Linked DNA regions of Sus scrofa. The protein of the gene in region 1 interacts with the protein of each later gene in a pairwise test. Links are inferred from orthologs where the notes say so. Each region holds a gene or a part of one and is shown on either strand. Other genes may lie near its edges. The genes, in order: ARRB1, GNMT and MAPK9.

What was found.
Region 2: the proteins of ARRB1 (region 1) and GNMT interact in binary tests that used the Homo sapiens proteins (3 or more experiments, as listed by UniProt). The link is inferred for Sus scrofa from reciprocal best matches to the Homo sapiens genes ARRB1 and GNMT.
Region 3: the proteins of ARRB1 (region 1) and MAPK9 interact in binary tests that used the Homo sapiens proteins (3 or more experiments, as listed by UniProt). The link is inferred for Sus scrofa from reciprocal best matches to the Homo sapiens genes ARRB1 and MAPK9.

Annotation. Positions count from the first base shown.
Region 1 is NC_010451.4:9,547,390-9,551,648, reverse strand, and holds the start of ARRB1 (beta-arrestin-1), read left to right. Parts: upstream 1-1,450; 5' UTR 1,451-1,863; coding exon 1,864-1,919; intron 1,920-1,967; exon of another isoform or gene 1,968-2,184; coding exon of another isoform or gene 2,185-2,204; intron 2,205-4,259. UniProt on the Homo sapiens protein: Functions in regulating agonist-mediated G-protein coupled receptor (GPCR) signaling by mediating both receptor desensitization and resensitization processes.
Region 2 is NC_010449.5:38,037,148-38,041,243, reverse strand, and holds GNMT (glycine N-methyltransferase), read right to left. Parts: upstream 2,886-4,096; 5' UTR 2,843-2,885; coding exon 2,637-2,842; intron 1,669-2,636; coding exon 1,541-1,668; intron 1,393-1,540; exon of another isoform or gene 1,101-1,392; coding exon 984-1,100; exon of another isoform or gene 845-983; coding exon 702-844; intron 603-701; coding exon 481-602; intron 403-480; coding exon 231-402; 3' UTR 26-230; downstream 1-25. UniProt on the Homo sapiens protein: Catalyzes the methylation of glycine by using S-adenosylmethionine (AdoMet) to form N-methylglycine (sarcosine) with the concomitant production of S-adenosylhomocysteine (AdoHcy), a reaction regulated by the binding of 5-methyltetrahydrofolate.
Region 3 is NC_010444.4:78,393,958-78,397,574, reverse strand, and holds part of MAPK9 (mitogen-activated protein kinase 9), read right to left. Parts: intron 3,219-3,617; coding exon 3,147-3,218; intron 1,687-3,146; coding exon of another isoform or gene 1,682-1,686; coding exon 1,539-1,681; 3' UTR 1-1,538. UniProt on the Homo sapiens protein: Serine/threonine-protein kinase involved in various processes such as cell proliferation, differentiation, migration, transformation and programmed cell death.

The DNA.
Region 1 (4,259 bases):
TCTGTCCTGGGTCCCACATGAGGCCGGCCTCTCCCCACAGGCACAAATAGACATTGGGAGGATTGACGGCTCACAGAAAAGCAGCAGAATCAGAAAATAGGATTCAACAGGCTGTACAGTCCCTAATAGAGCACGTTTGTTTTAGGCACGTTCTCTGAAATAGTGGATTGGGACCATTTAAAAATTTGCAGCCTGACAAATTTTCAGTTCACCTGAAACAGAGTTTGACTAAATAATGCTGACTTTTTTTGTATCAGCCCGCAGAAGCTGGTCTCCTGCAGTGACAAACAAACCCCAGATCCTAGTGCTTTAAGAACTTACTTCCTCTCTCAGGCTGCCCCATCTCCCGATCATCCAGCCGGAGAGCATCTCTGGGCTTTAAGTCTCTGGAGGCCCCCCCATCCAGATCACTGCTGGTTTCAGGGAAAGAGGAAAGGGGGTGTGGTAGGAGGAAGAATGCTTCCTCCTCCCCAGCAACATCTACATCCTAATTCTTGGAACCTTTGAAACTCTCGTATCACATGGCAGAGGGGAATTACATTGCAGATAGAATTAAGGTTGCTAAAATCAGTTGATCTTAAAATAGAGAGCTGTAGGTACTCATATGGGTCTTTAAAAGTGGAAGAAGGAGGCAAGAGGAGGTCAGAGCAGTCCCATGTGATAAGAACCACTTCTTTGTTTGTTTTTAATATTTTTAGGGCCGCACCTGTGGCATATGGAGGTTCCCAGACTAGGGGTCCAATCAGAGCTACAGCTGCCAGCCTACACTACAGGCACAGCAATGCCAGATCTGAGCCTCGTCTGTGACCTACACCACAGCTCACGGCAATGCCGGGTCTTTAACCCACTGAGTGAGGCCAGGGGTCGAACCTGCGTCCTCATGCATGCTAGTCAGATTTGTTTCCGCTGAGCCCCGACAGACACGCCAAGAACCCAACTTCTCATTGCTGGCTTTGAAGATGGAGGAAGAGACCTGGAGACATGGAATGTGGGTGGAAAGGGCACAGAACCAGATTTCCCCCTGGAGCCTCCAGACAGGAATGTAGGAATGCCCACATCTTGATTTTAACCTAGTGAGGTACATTTTGAACGTACTGAGAGAGTAATTTAAGCTGGTTTAAGCCACTAAGTTGTGATCTTTGTTACAGCCTCTGTAGAAAACTCATAGAAATGGCATGGGATATCACGCAGCCCTGAATTGCTTCTGCCCGGAAGTGGCATATGGCGGGTCTGCTCATATTTCCTTGGCCAGAGCAAGCTGCATAGGCATGTCTAAGTTCATAGGACTAGAAAAACTTGATGCATCCATCTGCCCAGCCTTCGAGGGGAGTGGAATGTTGGTAAATATAATATCTACTATATCCTTGCTAGCTGCTCCTTATGCTTATGTCTTCTGCTCTCTTCCACTAAAAAACAGCGCCACCACCAAAGAGCTGATGGCAAGTCTATAGGTTGATTTCATTGTCAACTAATGGGTCGTGGCCCCTGGTTTGAAAAACACTGCTGAACAGACCCTCCTCTGCCCAGGCCTCATGGACCCCATGACACACCCTGGGCATAGCTGATTGGCCCAGGCATGGGACACCTGACCGGAGCTGACCAATCCCGTTCCTCTCCTGGGAATTTGGAATTGGGCCATTCAACCAGTTAACAGTGGGAAGCTGAGCAGAGGCAGAATAGAAACAGGGTCGGAGTGAGAACCACACGCAAGCCCAAACGATGGAGGAGCAGAAAAGCCCTGAGTAAGCAGAGAGAGTTGGTCCACAGAGGCAATGGAGCAGCCACACCGAGAGCAGTGCAGCCTGGAGAACATGCAGCCCCAGGGGGAGAGGTGGAGAGAGAGAGCGGCCGCCTAAGAGGCTGATGGCTTCCCTGTTCCTGGCTCCAGCCCCCGTGCGTCCTGGCTACATATCCTTCCCGTGAGATTTTTGCCTCCTTATCATACCCCCTCCTTCTTTTCTTGATGGGTTTCTGTTCCTTGTCTCCAGTGAGTCTTAATCAGCTAGAACTCTACCAGTATTTCTTGTATGGGGCCCGGCTTTGGCTTGAGGATCAGGCTTGGAGGGCACAGATGGGACTCGGGGGTGAAGCAAACCCAGCCATCCCACGGTCTAGAAATTTGGCTCTGACCTCAGTCTTGCATGATTGTGCCTGCTCTTCAGCGGGGACTGGCAGAAGCTGTCTATGAATGAGGTGTCGCACAGGTAGGGGTCCCGGTGAACTGGATGCACCCTTACAGGAGCCTTCTTCTGACAGCCCTGGGGTCAGGAAGCCACTGGAGTTGTTTTGGGGATGGTGTGGCTGTGGGACAGAGTGGAAAGGATGTGAGCTCGGGAGAAGGCAGCCACAGTTCACCTCTTTGAGCCTCAGTTTTCTCATCTCTGAAATGGGATTGTTGAAGCATCAACCCCAGTGCTGGAAAAACACTTAGAGACCTGACAAGGGCGTACAAGGCTGGAGGGCACGGGCAGCTGCTGCTGCTGCTGTTCGAGGAAGCCGCCAGCCAGCGACCAGCTTCCTGCGGAGGTGGCCCCGGGGGCTGATTGACTTGGCAGAGGTCCGTCCCCACCCCTGGGCCGGCTGTGCCTCCTGCCTCTCCTCACCCTCACGCTCCTTCTCACCCCTTAATCACCCTTTCTTCCTCCTTTCCTCCCGCCTCCTGCCCTCACTTGCCCTCTTTTCTGTTATTCTTGATGTTGATAAAAACACCTGCTTTGGGAAAGCGCAGCAGGGTTGGATGTAAAAGCCCAGCCTCTGGAGGCAGACAGACAGAACTGGGTCTGAATCCTGACTTATTAGCCCCTTGGTTGCTGTGTATTCCTGGGCAAATCACCACATCTCTCTGAATGTCAAGTTCACTGTCTATAAAGTGAGGGTTCTAATGCCCATTTCACAGTGCTGTGATGAGAAAGAACTCACTGGGCACTCAACCAATGCTAGTTCTAGTTCCTTCTTTTTTAAAATGTTAGTTCCTTCTTCTCTTTTTCCCTCCCCGACTGTCACTCCTCTCAGCTGGCCTCCGGCTGCCTCCCGTGGTCAGGGTCCCCCTAGTCCCTCTCAGAGGTCCCTGGAATAGCTTCTCCTGACTCAGTTACTTGTGGCCTTGGGCTTTTGTGGCCTCTCTTTCCCTCAGACCCGAGGCTCCAGAGAGGTAGGCAGGCTTCTGGAAGCCTCAGAGGCCCTGTGGTCTGTTCCTTCTCTGGTCTCCTCTGCAGGTCCAGCCTTAGCTTGGGAGCTGCTGGTTCGAGTCATATGATCTGTAATTTTTTTCTCAGTTTAGCAATTATTATACCCCAGCTGACTGTGGCATCTTTACACTCCAAACACGGATAAATATTTATGAGGAGGAGACAAGCCCAGAACTCCTCAGAGAGTTGGGGGTGGGGTGAGGAAGGTGATAAGTCCCTGTTTGCCAGCCAAGCTCAGACCCATCAGTGGTCCCTGGGGCCCCCAAATTAAGGGGTGGGGGTGATGGGGGGGCTATGGAGGCAGCACAGGACCAGCACCCCTGTCCCCTCTGGGGAGACCAGCTGTCAATGTGACACTGTGGGCCTCACCCTGCCTTGTTGTGCTGGATGCTGCTGGGCCTCCTGCTCCTCCAGGTTTTGAGCTGCCTGGATCCTCTCAGCACACGTGAGCTCTGTCGCTCTGTGTCTGCCCATCTCTTTCTGTTTGTAACACTTTCTCTCTCCCTCTCTTTTTGGTTTATTATTTATTTATTTATTTATTTTTGTCTTTTAGGGCCACACCCGTGGCATATGGAGTTCCCAGGCTAGGGGTTGAATCAGAGCTGCAGCCCCTCCGGCCTACGCCACAGCCACAGCAACGCAGGATCTGAGCTGCGTCTGCGACCTACACCACAGCTCACGGCAATGCCGGATCCTTAACCCACTGAGCGAGGCCAGGGTTCGAACCTGTGTCCATGTGGATGCTGGTCAGGTTCGTTAACCACTGAGCCATGATGGGAACTCCTCTTTTTGGTTTGTTTAATCATCACTCATTCCATCTTTCATGACCCCTCCAGGGCAGTGTCCCTCCCCGCTCCCTCCCTCCTCCAACACTGTCTCTTGTTTCTGGGGCTCTGTCTCTCCCTTTCTTCTGTCTCCCAGCACTGCTCTGAGCAGTTCCGGGCTGGATGTTGGGGAATAGGTGAGGGGCCTCAGGCTCCAGGGGACCTCAGCTTGCTCCAGAAGGCAGAGGGAGCACTTCGCGGGAGTCAGGGACCACACACGCCTCTGCCTGGTTCCGCAGCCGGTGCT
Region 2 (4,096 bases), on another chromosome or scaffold:
ATCCTTCTGACATAAACATGAGGTGTACAGGACCTGAAAAAAGCATAGACTATATTGTTTTCCTTTCCATCTGTTTGAACCCGAATCCCTGCCCCCAGCTGCAGCCCACCCCTTCCCACACCCCCGGATCTGCACTGGGGGTTGGGCTCCGTGTGGGGCTTCTGGTCCCCTCCTCCACAGACGGAGCCTGGCAGCGCCTGGGCAGAGGGCAGTGGGAGCTGAGGCCTCACTCAGTCCGTCTTCCTGAGCACGTGGATGAAATAGCAGGGAATGTAGGCCTGGCCCGGCTTGTAAGGCTTGAAATCTCCTAGGACACTGTGCTGGCACTTGCCCCCGAAGGCTGTTTGTAGCAGCTCCGTAAAGGATGCCAGACAGTGAGGGTAGTAGGAGAGCCGGAACTTACTGCAACAGAGCCCCCGACCAACCATCAGGACTGGTGTGTCAGCGCCCCCTGCCCAAGCCCCTGCCTCGCCAGTGTACCTCAAGCCAGGAGAACCTCTGTGGCCAGTCCCCGGCACCTGCACCGTGTAATCGAGGGTCACCATGTGAGCCTTGTTGTTCACTGTCAGCACAGATGTCGTGATGTCCTTGATCAGGTCACTCTGCAGGTGGGAGTGCCAGCTGTGTTAGCTTCTGCAACTCTGGTGGGGCCCAGAGAGCCCACCTCCCACTCTGGGCCCTCCCTCCCTCAGGGGCCCCACCTTATAGTAGATGTTCTTTCCTGGGGGTGCACAGCCTGTGCTGAGGATGTGGTCGTAGTTTCGATGATCAATGACCAGCAAGCCCCCTGACCGCACCATGCTTGTGATGTTTTTCAGGGCCAGCCGGTGCTCACTCTGGTCCCCTGAACTCCAGGAAGGGTAGAGAGGCTGCGTCTGCTCAGGGCCCGGGCACCAGTCTCCCTCCCATCTTTCTCCTTCCCCCTGCGTCTGGAAAGGGTATGGTTCAAAGCAGGGTCTACGCCCAAGGCCACACCCTCTCACCTCTGCAGTCTGGCAAGTGGGCAAAACTGTTTCCAAGGCAGATGACAGCATCGAAGCCACCCATTGGTGACTTGGGCACATCTTTGTCTAGAGTCATCCAGTTGGCTTCTTCAATGACTGGGGGCCAGGAAAGGGAAGAGGGAACAGGCTGGTACCACAGTACAAGCAGCACCCGTGTCCACCAAGTGCAGTCTTGCCTCTCTTTCCCCTTCTAGATACACACAGGGCCTCCCCAGGGGAGGGGATCCCGAGGGAGGGGATCATCATGGACATGGAGGGTGAAGGAGAAGAGGGGTCAGGGGAATAGGAAGCTGTGGTGGGGAAGGAGGGCCCTGTGCTTATGGGTTTCTTTTGGGGGAGAAGGATAAGATACTATAAAGGTAATTAAAACTAGCATAGTCAATACCTCGTTCTTGTGCCTAAGCCTCCCTTTTTAGGGATTTTACTGTCCCCCTTGAGGAAAACAAAACCCCCCACCACAGGAGCTAAAGGAGCCAGAGCAGAGAGAACAGTGTCCTTGGTGGCTGGGCCGAGGGGACCTGGCTGGAGCTGCCTACCCCACTTGTCGAAAGCAGGCTCATGCCGCCGGTTCCAGCGCTCTTTAAGTGCATACTTGAGCATCTTGTCACTGGCATCCACACTTGTCACACTGAAGCCTTCTTCCACTAGCATGATGGAGTCCACCCTGGGCAGGACCAGAATCCCAACAGGCAGAGAGGGGTGGTCAGGGAAGGCAAGGAGGAGGCCCTGTGCCGGACACTTCTGTCTCCTCAGGTCCTCAGAGTCCATTTTTCTGCCTGTCCCCAGGCTCTCTCCACTGACCTCAGTGACCTGGCATATCTGATTCTCATCATCAGGTAGCACCCTTTTTGTGTTTTAGCACCTATTCCAAGTCAGGCATTCTACAAATGCACATGAATCCTCATTGCAGTCCGGTAAGGTAGATGGTCTTATCCCCATTCGAGAGATGGGGCAAGCTGAGGCTTCTGGATGTTAAGTAACTTGAGCACAGGAGGCAGTGTAACATGGGGGTTTAGAGCACAGGCCAGACCCTAACCCATCTGGGTTTGCATCTCCTCTCCACCTTTATCTCTCTGAGGCCAAATTCCTACAACGGTAAACAGCTATCACTACCCACCTCATGGGGTTTTGTGAGGATTTTAAAACCTCATGTATCAAAAGCACCTGGTACAGTGCTTTGGCAGGGGCACATGTTAAACAAGCGTTAACTGTTAACGCTGCCGGAGGCCATCATACCGGGGAATGACCCTGGAATGACCCTGGAGCCGGGTTCCAAGCCCCAAAGCCTGGGTCCTTGCGCCGCCCCAGCGAGATCGCCTTCTCCACCCACAGTGCCCACACCCTCGCTCTCACCCTGGGTCTCCTCGGCCCCCTCCTGCCGTCGGCCTCGCCCTGCTCCTCGTTCTGCCTGGGTAAACACTCATTCCTGGCCCCTGGCGTCGCGCCCCTGCCTGGCTCTAGGTCGGCAGCGGCGGAGGAGGCTGCCCGACGTGCCCCGCTGTGGTACTGCGGTCGGGCGACCCCGGCCGGAGCAGACCCCGTCCCCCGTCGCCTGTGTCCTCCCGGCTCCTCTTTCCCCCTGGCCCCCGGATGCCTGCTCATCCCAGGTCCCTGGCTTCCGTCCGGGCTCACCCGGTACCACAGGCCACGTCGAGGACTCGCTGGCAGCCGTGCTGTCGCAGCAGTCCGAGCAGCCAAGCCTTGTACTCAGCCGTGCGGCTGCGGGTGTCTCCGATGTACAGCTGCCACACGCGCGCCGCCTCTCCGTCCGCGTACTGGTCCGGGAGCCCTTCAGCCGCCACCCCCAGGGAGCGGGTCCGGTACACGCTGTCCACCATCCTGCGAGGCGCCTGGCTCCGCAGCCACCCGCTCTGCATTTATAATACGCCCCTGCCGGCGGCCCCACCTGCCCAATGGGAGGTGAGAGCGGGGACACGCCCCTGCTGGGCCCTGGGCCCGCAGCCGCGGCTGCCCGGGTAGGCACGCTGGGAGGGCGCTGCCTGGCAATCCTAGACCAGCCCTTCCCGCCTGCCTGAGGATCCTGCCCTGTGGATGATCCCTCGGCGCAAAAGGACCTTCCCAACCCCTGCCCACTTAAGCCAGGTCCCAGGGGAACCTAGGAGGGGTCAGAAGGGGGAGCTGGGGAGTTCCCGTCGTGGCGCAGTGGTTAATGAATCCGACTAGGAACCATGAGGTTGCGGGTTAGGTCCCTGCCCTTGCTCAGTGGGTTGAAGATCCGGCGTTGCCGTGAGCTGTGGTGTAGGTTGCAGACACGGCTTGGATCCCGCGTGGCTGTGGCTCTGGCGTAGGCCTGTGGCTACAGCTCTGATTCGACCCCTAGCCTGGGAACCTCCATAAGCCGCGGGAGCGGCCCAAGAAATAGCAAAAAGACAAAAACAAAAACAAAAACAAAAAACAGAAGCGGGAGCTGGAAAGAAACTTCACAGTCCACAATGAGTGCCCAGGGCAAAACCGTCCCTACTGGGGGGGGAGGTGGGGAGGTAGGGTGGGGGTTATTAGCATATATAAAGAAGGGCTGCCCCGCCCAAAGAGGGCCTGGTCAGCCAGCGAAGGGAGGGATGGGAGTATCTGGGGATGATGCTGGCTTGGCCATCCAAGTCTAGGAGCAGTTCTGGCCCAAGGGGTCATCCCACCCATCTGGGGGCAGGTGCTCCTCTGTCCTGTAGCTGATGCATCAAGCTTTTCCCTGAGCCACTTGAGATGGAGTCTGATTCCAGTTCCTCTCTAACCAAGCACCCCACTAATGGCTGCTTTCCACAGAGGTGCCCACAGACTGGGCAGTCCAGAGTGAGGGGTGGAAGTGCTTGCTCTTGCTCTTATATCGCTCATTATCACCTCATAAATTGGTCATTTGGTTTGGTTAGTGTCAGCCACCCTCCTCCCCAAAACAGGTCTCTTCCTGGACAAGACCCTGGACTGAGATTCAGGAAGGTGGTGCCACCCAGGGAAGCCCAAGACAGCAAGAACAGCCTTCCTCACCTATCTTTTGGCTTCAGAAAGTGCCGAGGTATGGAATTTAGAACAAAGGAACCTCCCATCCGCTGCCCCTTTTACCATCAATAGAATCCTGG
Region 3 (3,617 bases), on another chromosome or scaffold:
ACACATTCTATAGAATGTGAACAATGGTGACCCAATAGCTTCCAAAATAATTAAACACAAGATATGAATCTGTAATAGAATGAGCTCAAGGGAAAAGCATTATGAGCACAGGTAGCCAAAATGTGACCATCGTAACTCCATTTCTGCAATGACACTTCAATACTCAGTATTTCAGTGAGTTTTGAATAGTTTCCATATTGAAAGTCTGAAAGTATCAATTTCAGGTGAGCAGTTTTAAGTCAGAAAATATTCAATAGTTAATCATTACTCTTTAGGGCATTTCCTCCATATCCTTCAGATGGGTTTTCCCAGAACATTCATGGATTTCCCTTAGGAAAAGGAAATGCCGCCATAAAGTGGAAAACAACCACAAACAGGCATTCTGAATTGGCGTGCTTCCTCAAACAGACCAAAGGGGGATTTGTGTGGTTTCTTTCAGAAAAGAAAGAAAATCGAGTAAGCATGCGGTGTTGGAAGAGGGAAACTCTGCCTTGTGAAATCACGGATCTTACCTTGAGCGATGGAAGGTAAGAGAGGACCCAGTCCAGGCTCAGGCAAAGCATGCACTTAGTAAGTGGCTGCAATCATCTTTAGTGATCACTTCGTAAAATTTTTCTCTACCAGCAGTTGATGGGTTCAAGAATGTGTATGCCATCATATTGAGATGGGGTGTTAGGTGACTAATAAAGAAGGCGAAGTTCTAGTATAGCATTTTAAATTAAATATGAAGTTCAGAAGACAAAGAAAAAAGAGATAGGGTACATAGGAATTAAAGGTATATGATATTTTAAGCAGCACAAAACAAAACTTAAAACTTTATCATGCAGTAAAGCTGAATGTACAGTCACCCAGACTAAGACAATTTAGAGAAAACAAAGTGTCCTGGTTTTAGCAGTGGTAATTCTCAGCCCAAATGTGACAAATTTAGGAAAAGTTATATTTTTTAATTTATTTAACAGATTTACTTATATTCCTTCTGAAATATGAAAGAAAATAACTCATACCCTAAAGGAAGGTAAGATACAATAATATGATGGCAGCCAATTAATATACATAAATCTATTTTTTCTGGACAGACACCAAATTACTTAAAAGGATTAAGAGACAATTCTAGAAGCAGCACTACCTAGAAGATTATTTGGCTTTTAAATACTGTTTTTCAAAGTGCTAGAGGGCAAGTCCAAGCAGGCATTTGCGGTCACATGCATATAAGTCCCAACAATTACTGAAGATGAGAAATTGTCACTACTATTACCATACAACTTAAAAAAAAAATCTATTCTAATTGCTCACCTGAAATGACCTTGAACAAAATCTCTAGAAGTGTGGTTTGCACTTTTTTTTTTCTTCAGACATAATCTGCTTCATTTTATAATCTAAGCAAGGCAAGCCTAGTACAACTGAGTAGGGGCAAGGCATCGTGTTTCTTACATGCAGAACATGGAGTTTTTCTATTTGGTTCCATCAACTCCCAGGCATTTCAGGCCCACGGAAGCAAGAGTTCCTTCACTGATGACAAGCTTGCTATTTCTAACTTATCATCGACAACCTTCAAGGGGTCCCGTTGAGGCATCCAGACTGCTGTCTGTGTCTGAGGCCAGGGTCTGCTCAGTGGACATGGATGAAATGTCATTGATAGATGACGACTGAGAAGGAGTGGCGTTGCTACTTACTGCTGCATCTGTGCTAAGAAAACCAAATATAATAAAATCTGAGGCACGACATTGTTGCAAATCCAGGCAGTGAGACTTCAGGCCATTTCTCAGCTTTTTCCTTTTGTAGCTTCCTGTACTAACTATTAGTATAAACAAGAAATTAGTTGACTGTACATTTTGAACCTTTCCTGGAGTCTTTCTTTAGGCTCAAAATCCCAAATATTCCTGTCTTCCCTTGCAACATTTCTTTTCTTCCCAATGGCTAGTCATCATATATGTACTTGTGTATAATCATGTTAACTGCTTAGAAAATATCTGCTGGTTTTAAAAAGATATTTTTTAAAAAACTGCTGAATTTATCCTAAAACTAAAAAAAAAATCTCAAAAAGTTTAATCCCAAATAGGATTCAAGTGTCATCAGACATTTCAATTATAATCATAAACAGTCCAAGGAAAAAAGTATCAACCTTTGCAGAATTCTTTTACAATAAAAATACCTTCCAAAATAAGAACTGCATACAAACAAAAAAAGGAAAAAAATTATAAAGAACACTGTTCATTTTATTTTTGCTTTTTAAATTCCCAAAGGCAAATGAAACCATCCCATTTCTTACTATCTATATTTTAGTCTGGTTTTAGCAAAAATAAAACATCCAGACTCTCAGAGGTCAGTCTTAAATTTGTGCTTTGTTAACAAAAAGCACCTAAATTCACATTATATTCATATACTCTCTAGACACTCGACACACATGTCATGAATAAGAAGTGCAATTTGTATTTATGTGTGTCTATGTGTGCGCACATTTCCCGGTAGGAGTGGAATAATAAAATAAATATAAAGAGTTTTGTTTAAGGTCAAACTCTACAAGACACAAGTTAACACCACATATATTATGTCTCTAGTAATCACACAATTATCTAACGGTTAGAATTCTACCACTAAGTAGATCAAGTAGAAAGATGGGAGAATTATATGAACGATCTTCTCGAAAGAAAAGTAAATTCCATTTTATCTAGATTCACGTTGATATTCTTTTTAACTGGTTAGGACCAGTACAAAGAGGGTCATACACATTGAAAAAGCTTTAAGAAGCTCCCTTGTGGTGCAATGGGTTAAGGATCTGGTGTTGTCACTGAAGCGGCTCAGGCTGCTGCTGTGGTGTGGGTTTGATCCTTGGCCTGGGAACTTCCACATGTCATGGGCATGCCCCCACCCTCCAAAGAGGGTTTAAATTCAATTTCCTTATAAACAAAACTGACAACAGTGTTACAAAGATGAACAAGCATGTTCTTAACACAGTTCACTGCCTGGCCCATCAGTAAAATATTCACTGCCATCACTGGGACAAACCAAAAAGGGGAAGACTATTTCACAGAAAAAATTTTCAAACCCAATATTGGTCAAGCTGGCACTTAACACACTGCTTCTTATAAAAACTAAATAGGGAAAGAAAAATAATATACAATCAAACTATTAAAGCAATCACTAACCTGAAGGTTGATCTTTTACAACACCATTCTTGTTTCTTTCTTCCCAATCCATTACTTCTTTGTAAATTAGCTCTTAAAATAGAAATGCAAGTTAAAACAGCTTCACCAGTTTCCTTGCATCTCTAAATCCTGCTTCCAAATCACACAGAACCACTCCAAGGGCACCGCGATGTATTAGACAAGTAATTTAGTAATATAGTTTACCTAGACTAAAACATTGATATTTGATCCATTACATCTTTTCAACCAACTGTTAAGCCAAAATGTAGGGTGGTTCTGGATCCACAAGGGGGGTTTACAAAGAGAAGCAAGCGTGGGGGCTGGGGACAGGGGAGAAAAGAGAGGGAGGGAAAGTATGAGCAAAGTGGCTCAAACAGGACAGTTTAGAGTATCAGATGTTCTCACACCTGTCTGCACATGTTTTTCTCCATCATTACTTGTGGTTCTCCAAACGTAACCCCTTCAAGGACG